2 linked regions of the Saccharomyces cerevisiae S288C genome follow. The protein of the gene in region 1 binds, or shares a complex with, the protein of each later gene. Each region holds a gene or a part of one and is shown on either strand. Other genes may lie near its edges. A codon is read from its position in the direction of its gene.

The links.
Region 2: the proteins of NHA1 (region 1) and BMH1 are in contact, whole or in part, in a crystal structure (PDB 6QK8), measured with the Saccharomyces cerevisiae proteins. Residues at the interface, in NP_013239.1 of Saccharomyces cerevisiae: Arg478 (codon at 3,425), Ser479 (codon at 3,428), Phe480 (codon at 3,431), Ser481 (codon at 3,434), Leu482 (codon at 3,437), His483 (codon at 3,440), Arg484 (codon at 3,443), Met485 (codon at 3,446); in NP_011104.3 of Saccharomyces cerevisiae: Glu16 (codon at 1,259), Tyr21 (codon at 1,244), Val48 (codon at 1,163), Lys51 (codon at 1,154), Arg58 (codon at 1,133), Lys125 (codon at 932), Arg132 (codon at 911), Tyr133 (codon at 908), Gly174 (codon at 785), Leu177 (codon at 776), Asn178 (codon at 773), Val181 (codon at 764), Tyr184 (codon at 755), Asp218 (codon at 653), Leu221 (codon at 644), Ile222 (codon at 641), Leu225 (codon at 632), Asn229 (codon at 620), Leu232 (codon at 611), Trp233 (codon at 608).

What each region holds. Positions count from the first base shown.
Region 1 is NC_001144.5:416,444-421,920, forward strand, and holds NHA1 (Nha1p), read left to right. Parts: upstream 1-1,993; coding exon 1,994-4,951; downstream 4,952-5,477. Other genes in the region: TIS11 (Tis11p), read right to left, coding at 1-215; RKM5 (S-adenosylmethionine-dependent methyltransferase), read left to right, coding at 563-1,666; SLS1 (Sls1p), read right to left, coding at 5,099-5,477. UniProt on the Saccharomyces cerevisiae protein: Sodium export from cell, takes up external protons in exchange for internal sodium ions. Also capable of exporting potassium ions.
Region 2 is NC_001137.3:544,035-546,914, reverse strand, and holds BMH1 (14-3-3 family protein BMH1), read right to left. Parts: upstream 1,305-2,880; coding exon 501-1,304; downstream 1-500. Other genes in the region: PDA1 (pyruvate dehydrogenase (acetyl-transferring) subunit E1 alpha), read right to left, coding at 1-98; ECM32 (RNA helicase), read right to left, coding at 1,860-2,880. UniProt on the Saccharomyces cerevisiae protein: Involved in growth regulation.

The sequences.
Region 1 (5,477 bases):
GGTGGAGAGAATGAAACTGCCGAAGATATTTCACTGCTTGTTTCCTGTATGTTATCCTCGTTTAAAATCGTCTTGTTGTAATACTCCTCCAGTTCCCTAATATTGATCTGGTACTGGTAGTCATTTAATGGATTTTGCTCTTGATCTGTGGAAAACAACGACGTTAAGTCAGTCTTCTGAGATTCTGGTCTAGTATATGATAATTGAGCCCACATATTGCGTTATTTTTTACGTATTGAGTTTGCAGCACTGTTTCGCTTTCTCTCAAGATGCACAAATACGACCTACCAAGAGCCTCCAAGTCCCACCAACGATTATGTCTTCTCTCAAATATATATACAAGTTACATGTAGAGAAATCGAGACGAGATTGCTGGCACAATGCACCCAACTGCATGTGCCATTGTGCATCTACACCTCCAAATTAGGGTGTCGATTGGCGTCGTCTTCTTTAATGTGGGTGCATTTTGCGGCGGCGCGACAAATATAGAGAACTGACCAAGGCAGTGCTGTCAAGAAGAGAGAATGGTTACGGCAGCGAAGACGCAAATGGGCTAGGCAGAATGGCATTCAAGTTATGGCTACTGGATGAGGAAACAATATACGAGCACGTGTTCGAACGGTACACACAATTGGAGGGCCAGTCCGGGAAACTGGCGCAGGATTTGGGTATTCAGGATAGAAGGGGCGGTGTGCTAGAGATAACGTTTGAACCCTCTGGGCTGGAAGGCGGCAGAAAAAAAAAGCGAGTGAGAAGAAGAAATAAGGCTAGTAGTGTTGAAGAAGATCAGAATGTTGCTGTGGATAGCTATCATGTTAGCGTGGGGCAGTCCATATCAAGCTTGCGCTCGTCCAGAGACAACGGAAACTCCACCACAGGATACGTTTTGTGGTCTACCACACCTTTCTTCATCAACTGGCTGCTGTATAGTACTAGCGCTGCACCTTTCCGTCTTGGGAGTCAGGTGGAAGTAACCTGCGGGTCTTCTTGCGAGGGGCACAAGCTTGAGTTGCCCAGGCTGGTCGACCTCACGGGCGCTGATCGCGGCAAGAGAGGTATCTTGGAACTTGGAGCAGGAATATCAGGTATTTTGCCCGTGATTCTTGGTAACTTCGTCGACACCTACGTGTCGACAGATCAGAAGGGCATTCTTAATAAATTAAAAGATAACATCATGGAAAACTTATCACAGTTGACCAGAAAGCGGTGCATTTCCCGATCACTAAGATTGGAACTTCCCACCGTCGAACCAGTTGGCGACGCTGATATCACCGCAGCGTCACTTCCATCTAAGTCTACGTTGCATTTGGAAGTAGCCGCTCTAGACTGGGAGAAGATAAACTTGCAAGACAAAAAGACCCACTCTCTGCATCCTGAGTTGTCACTCATAGGTGAAACATGTTCTTCCGTGTACGTTATAGCTATGGATGTCATATACAACGAGTACCTGATAGATCCGTTTCTGAAGACGCTCAAGCAACTCAAACACTGGTTACAAACTACCTACAATTTGCAATTCCATGTCCTCGTGGGGATACACTTGCGGTCACAAGAGGTGACAACACTGTTCTTGGAGAAAGCCATCATAGAATATGACTTCACGGTTTATGATATCGTTGACCAGGTCATACAAGAGTCCCGTTTTAACTTTTATCTTATCACCTAGTCCCATATATAATAATAGAAACAATATAATGCTGATAATCTTATTTTTCTTTGCGATGCGGCAGTGCCTCTTCCCCTCCGTACGGATTGGGAAGATTTTCATTTTTGATTAGCAAGGGCACTAAGCCAACTCTGTGTGATATAGCTAATAATCTAAAAGCTGCTGGATCCGTTATCGTCAAGATAAAGCGGACTTAGCGATTTACATAGGATCACACTTTCTACACACATTTGATTTTTAAGCTTCATTTTCCACTGCACTTATTTTTCCCAAGCATCGTGTTTTTTTGTACATTATAAAAAAAAATCCTGAACTTAGCTAGATATTATGGCTATCTGGGAGCAACTAGAAGTCTCAAAGGCGCACGTTGCTTATGCATGTGTTGGTGTCTTTTCATCTATCTTCTCTTTAGTGTCACTTTATGTCAAGGAGAAGCTTTATATTGGTGAGTCCACCGTAGCAGGTATATTTGGGCTAATTGTGGGTCCTGTTTGCTTGAACTGGTTTAATCCTCTGAAATGGGGGAATTCAGACAGTATAACATTAGAGATAACGAGAATAGTATTATGTTTGCAAATTTTTGCCGTTGCCGTGGAACTGCCACGGAAATATATGTTGAAGCATTGGGTATCTGTGACGATGCTATTATTGCCAGTGATGACAGCTGGATGGCTTATTATTGGTCTCTTCGTTTGGATTCTTATACCTGGCTTGAATTTTTCTGCTAGTTTGTTGATATCTGCGTGCATTACCGCAACAGATCCTATTCTGGCGCAGTCGGTCGTCTCCGGTAAGTTTGCCCAAAGAGTACCTGGTCACTTAAGAAATCTACTGTCTGCAGAGTCAGGCTGCAATGATGGTATGGCCTTTCCTTTTTTATTTCTTTCTATGAATTTAATCCTACATCCCGGTAATGGAAGAGAAATTGTCAAAGATTGGATTTGCGTTACTATCCTGTATGAGTGTTTGTTTGGATGCTTGCTAGGTTGCTTCATTGGTTATGTAGGCAGAATCACCATCAGGTTTGCCGAAAAGAAAAACATTATCGATCGTGAGTCGTTCTTAGCATTTTACGTTGTCCTGGCGTTCATGTGTGCTGGGTTCGGCTCCATTTTGGGTGTGGATGACCTATTGGTATCATTTGCAGCCGGTGCGACTTTCGCTTGGGATGGGTGGTTTTCTCAAAAGACACAAGAAAGTAATGTTTCTACCGTGATTGATTTGCTACTAAACTATGCGTATTTTATCTATTTTGGTGCCATTATACCTTGGAGTCAATTCAACAACGGTGAAATTGGCACAAACGTCTGGCGTTTAATTATACTTTCGATAGTGGTCATCTTTTTACGTAGGATCCCTGCAGTCATGATATTAAGACCTCTTATACCTGATATAAAATCGTGGCGTGAGGCACTTTTTGTGGGCCATTTTGGTCCTATTGGTGTAGGTGCAATTTTTGCCGCTATACTAGCTCGTGGAGAATTAGAGTCTACCTTTAGTGACGAACCCACTCCTTTAAATGTTGTACCATCAAAAGAGGAAAGTAAACATTGGCAGCTGATAGCCTGTATATGGCCAATAACTTGTTTTTTCATTGTTACTTCTATCATAGTTCATGGTTCTTCAGTTGCAATCATAACTCTAGGTCGTCATTTGAACACGATAACGTTAACCAAAACATTCACTACACACACCACCAATGGTGATAATGGGAAAAGTTCATGGATGCAAAGGTTGCCATCGTTGGATAAAGCTGGACGATCATTTTCATTGCATCGTATGGATACTCAAATGACTTTATCAGGGGATGAAGGTGAAGCAGAAGAAGGAGGAGGTCGTAAGGGACTAGCAGGAGGTGAAGATGAAGAAGGATTAAACAATGATCAAATTGGTAGCGTCGCAACGAGCGGAATTCCTGCAAGACCCGCTGGTGGTATGCCAAGGAGGAGGAAATTGTCAAGAAAAGAGAAAAGATTGAACAGAAGACAGAAACTGAGAAACAAAGGTAGAGAAATATTTTCATCAAGATCTAAAAATGAAATGTATGATGACGATGAGTTGAATGATCTGGGACGAGAAAGGTTGCAAAAAGAAAAGGAAGCACGCGCCGCCACATTTGCATTGAGCACAGCCGTCAATACACAACGTAATGAGGAGATTGGAATGGGTGGAGATGAAGAAGAAGATGAGTACACACCGGAAAAGGAATATAGCGATAATTACAATAACACACCAAGTTTTGAGTCGTCTGAAAGATCTTCATCTCTCCGAGGAAGAACTTACGTACCAAGAAACCGTTACGATGGAGAAGAGACAGAAAGCGAGATTGAAAGCGAAGACGAGATGGAAAATGAAAGTGAAAGATCAATGGCCAGTAGTGAAGAGAGGAGAATTCGAAAAATGAAAGAGGAAGAAATGAAACCTGGTACTGCTTATTTAGATGGTAATAGAATGATTATTGAAAATAAGCAAGGTGAAATCTTGAATCAAGTAGATATCGAGGATCGCAATGAGGCGAGAGATGACGAAGTTAGTGTTGATAGTACAGCCCATTCAAGTTTAACTACCACAATGACCAATCTATCCAGTAGTAGTGGGGGAAGGTTAAAGAGAATTTTAACTCCCACATCTTTAGGAAAGATACATTCATTGGTTGATAAAGGAAAGGATAAAAATAAAAACAGCAAGTATCATGCATTTAAAATAGACAATCTGTTAATCATCGAGAATGAGGACGGTGATGTTATAAAAAGATACAAGATAAATCCTCATAAATCTGATGATGATAAAAGTAAAAACCGCCCAAGAAACGATAGTGTTGTATCAAGAGCTTTAACAGCAGTAGGACTAAAGAGCAAAGCGAACAGCGGCGTACCGCCTCCAGTAGATGAAGAAAAAGCCATCGAAGGACCCTCCAGGAAGGGCCCAGGGATGTTAAAGAAAAGGACATTAACACCTGCGCCACCGAGAGGAGTTCAAGATTCCTTAGATCTGGAAGATGAACCTTCATCTGAGGAGGATTTAGGTGATAGTTATAACATGGACGATAGTGAAGATTACGACGATAATGCATATGAATCAGAAACTGAATTCGAAAGACAAAGAAGGTTAAATGCGTTAGGTGAGATGACGGCACCAGCGGATCAAGATGACGAAGAGTTGCCGCCCTTACCTGTGGAGGCACAAACAGGAAACGATGGTCCAGGTACAGCGGAAGGAAAAAAAAAGCAAAAGAGTGCTGCTGTTAAGTCGGCGCTATCAAAAACGCTTGGTCTCAATAAGTAATTTATTAATACACAAAGATATATTATTTTAGTATATATATAAACGAAATGCCTTTTTTATTTACATGTGTCGGAAATAGAGTAGATGCGGTAAAGAGGGGGAGGGGGGGGGGGTATGCGGTTTTGTCATTACTCTTTTCCGTTAAACTTAAAAGCTTAAAACATCATTGATAAAGGTTTTTAGTGAGGTTTCACTGGGGTTCACATTGATGAAATCTAATTGTCTGTAGGAGCCATTGTTCAAAAATCCGCGGCTGATATCTGAATATTGAATGATGTATTTATCATCTTGGGCAGTGTTCGTAGGAAATCGTAAATTCAAGACACGATGGGTCAAAACATCAGTCAATTGGTATTGCTGTATTAGGTTATCTGGTAAAGAAATGTTGATTTTTTTCATAAGATTCTGATATTTGTTTAACTTCCAGTGTGACTTGAGAAGAAATTCTTGGAGGCCTTTTTGTTCAGATAACCAAGCATCCGGATTGGTCTGGTCGAAATCAGGTAAAAGATCTTGAATGTAATCT
Region 2 (2,880 bases), on another chromosome or scaffold:
ATGGTACGAACATGACCTATCCTGGTGGGAGTGCGAAGAACAGCTCCTAACCCGCGGACCAATTGTGATGGTTGGCGTTTGAATGAAGCAGCAAGCATTGGCACAAATGTGGTTTCCTTTCTTATTGCTGTATCCAACTTTTGTGAAGATACAGGTGCGACAAACATAAAAAAGTTCTTGCCGTTAAGAAGCTAAAGTTGCTTCTCGCTATACCAGAGGGGATTATTGTCGGGAGTCATGATGCGACATTTACCCGGTTGAGTAAGGAAGGGGTGGAGGAATCAGAAGAGAGATAAATAAACATACACGTCAAAACAGTATAGTTCAAGTAACACATATAGACATGTACACGCGCGATTACGTGTGTACATGCACATGTTAATGTTATATACATATATAGATATAGATATATAATTGCAATAATGAACTACAAATTATTACACCCCCGTTCTTTTTTTTTTCTTTTTTTTAGTAATTTCTCTTTAGATTTATCAGAATACTTACTTTGGTGCTTCACCTTCGGCGGCAGCAGGTGGCTGCTGTTGCTGATGTTGTTGTTGTTGTTGTTGGTCTTCAGCTTGACCGGACTCGGACATGTCTGAAGTCCATAAGGTTAAATTGTCCCTTAGCAGTTGCATGATAAGTGTGCTATCTTTGTATGATTCTTCAGACAGAGTGTCCAACTCAGCAATAGCGTCGTCAAAAGCTTGCTTGGCCAAATGGCAGGCTTTGTCTGGAGAGTTTTGAATTTCATAATAGAAGACAGAGAAGTTAAGAGCCAAACCTAGACGGATTGGGTGAGTTGGGGGTAACTCTGTGGTGGCAATTTCAGAAGCGGTCTTGTATGCTTCTAAAGAGGCGTTTGTGGCCTTTTCTCTAGCATCGCCACTAGAAAATTCAGCCAAATAACGGTGGTAGTCACCCTTCATCTTATAGTAGAAAACCTTGGACTCGCCAGTGGTGGCTGATGGAATTAAGTGGGAGTCTAGCACGGACAAAATATCGTCGGAGATCTTAGTTAGTTCGGTCTCAATCTTCGAACGGTACGAACAAATCAACTCGACCTGGTGTTCGGACTTCTCCTTGGACTCCTCCTTTTGCTCAATAGAAGAAACAATTCTCCAAGAGGCACGACGAGCACCAATAACGTTCTTATAAGCAACAGACAACAAATTACGCTCTTCGACCGACAACTCTTGGCCAGAGGAGGCAACAGTCTTCATGTTTTCGACCATTTCTTCATAACGTTCGGCCTGTTCAGCCAACTTGGCTAGGTACACAGAATCTTCACGACTGGTTGACATTTTTATCTTTAGTTTATCTTTAACTTGCTTTTTCTTCTCACTTGCTTGCGCTCTCAATTTTGAAAAGTAGGAAAAACTAAGTTATTTTTGCAGAAACTACACGGTTTTATGTTACGGTTCGTCTCGTTTTCAGGTTTAAGGTCCAATAATAAAGAGTTTCCTTTTCCTTTTTCCTTTTTGCTGCGCGTGGAAAAGCGTGTCTTTTTCTCATACCCCTGTTTTTTTGTTTTTTTTTTTATTTTTTTTGCTTTTCTTTGCTTTTTGCCTCGTCCCCCCGCGCCCCGGCCACAAAGAGGAAGCTATTTGCCACCGAGCTTCCTCTTTTGACTCCAGGCCGGAATAAAGTAGCTTCCGCAAAACTTCGCTCCACTTTCCAAAGAGGAAGCCCGTCACGTGGCTGCGCTGTCTCCCCCCCCCCCCCCCCTTTTTCCCCTGTGTTTTCGATCTACCGATTTTCTGTTCTATAACTACGTCCATTATCTATCTATATCTATCTATCTCTGCATTGCGCAATCAATACATAAACAGTGGATTTTCTTGCCGCCGCCTAGCCGGCTAGTAAGCTGTGAGATCAGTGAATATGACCTCTTGTTCCTCGAGGTAGGTAATGTAGTCTTTCCATAGGGGGTCTCCTTTTCTTAAGACATTCTTGTTGCCCACCACAATTAGTCCGTGCTTGGCTCTTGTCAATGCCACGTTTAACCTTCTTTTGTCACGTAAAAAGCCGATTTTGTTTTCGGTGTTATTTCTGACACATGAAAATATGATGAAAGATTTTTCGTGGCCTTGAAAGGAGTCTACGGTCGCGACGTGTAGGCCGTTGATGATGTTAATCACATTGTTTTGTAGACTGCCGGCGGTTCCTTGAGAACCAGCCGCGTTAAATAGCTCAATTTCATCGTATTCTTGTTGCATAGAAATCTGTTTGGGGTTGATAACTACGTTTTTGGTCAAGATGTCAGACAGCAGATCACGCTGTGCAGAATAGGGCGTTATGACACCAATTTCTTCCAGCGGAACCTTCTTGTCCAACATTAGTATTTGGATAATCTTCACGATTTCTACACATTCGTGTTTGTTTTCGTACGTAAACCCGACTATGTCTCTTTGCGTGCTTCTCACTCTGCTCTCGGGCCCCAAATCGCACTGATAAAAAAACAACGGATGCTGCACGCCAGGCCATGCCTTTTGTTCGTCCGTGACACCGTCCTTCAATTCACCATTGTATATTTTCTTAATGGGGAATTCGCTAATTTTTGGGTGCATTCTGTACTGCGTATCCAGCATTAGTGGGTTTTTGTACGTGCCATTAGATAGGACTCTTTCGAATAGTGAGGTTTCCAGTTGAGGGATGTTGCTGAAACTTGACAATTGCTTTTCGTCCCCAACGAAGACAAAATTTCTTATACCTGGTAACGAAAGTGGGACTAGTGTTGAAGCCTCTGATGATTGTGTAGCCTCATCCATTATTACCACGGGACATTCTTTTATAACCTTCAATTCACGACCACCTGCAGCAATGTTTGTCGTGAAAATTATTTGCGATTGAGATACGACCTTGTTGGTGACACGGTTT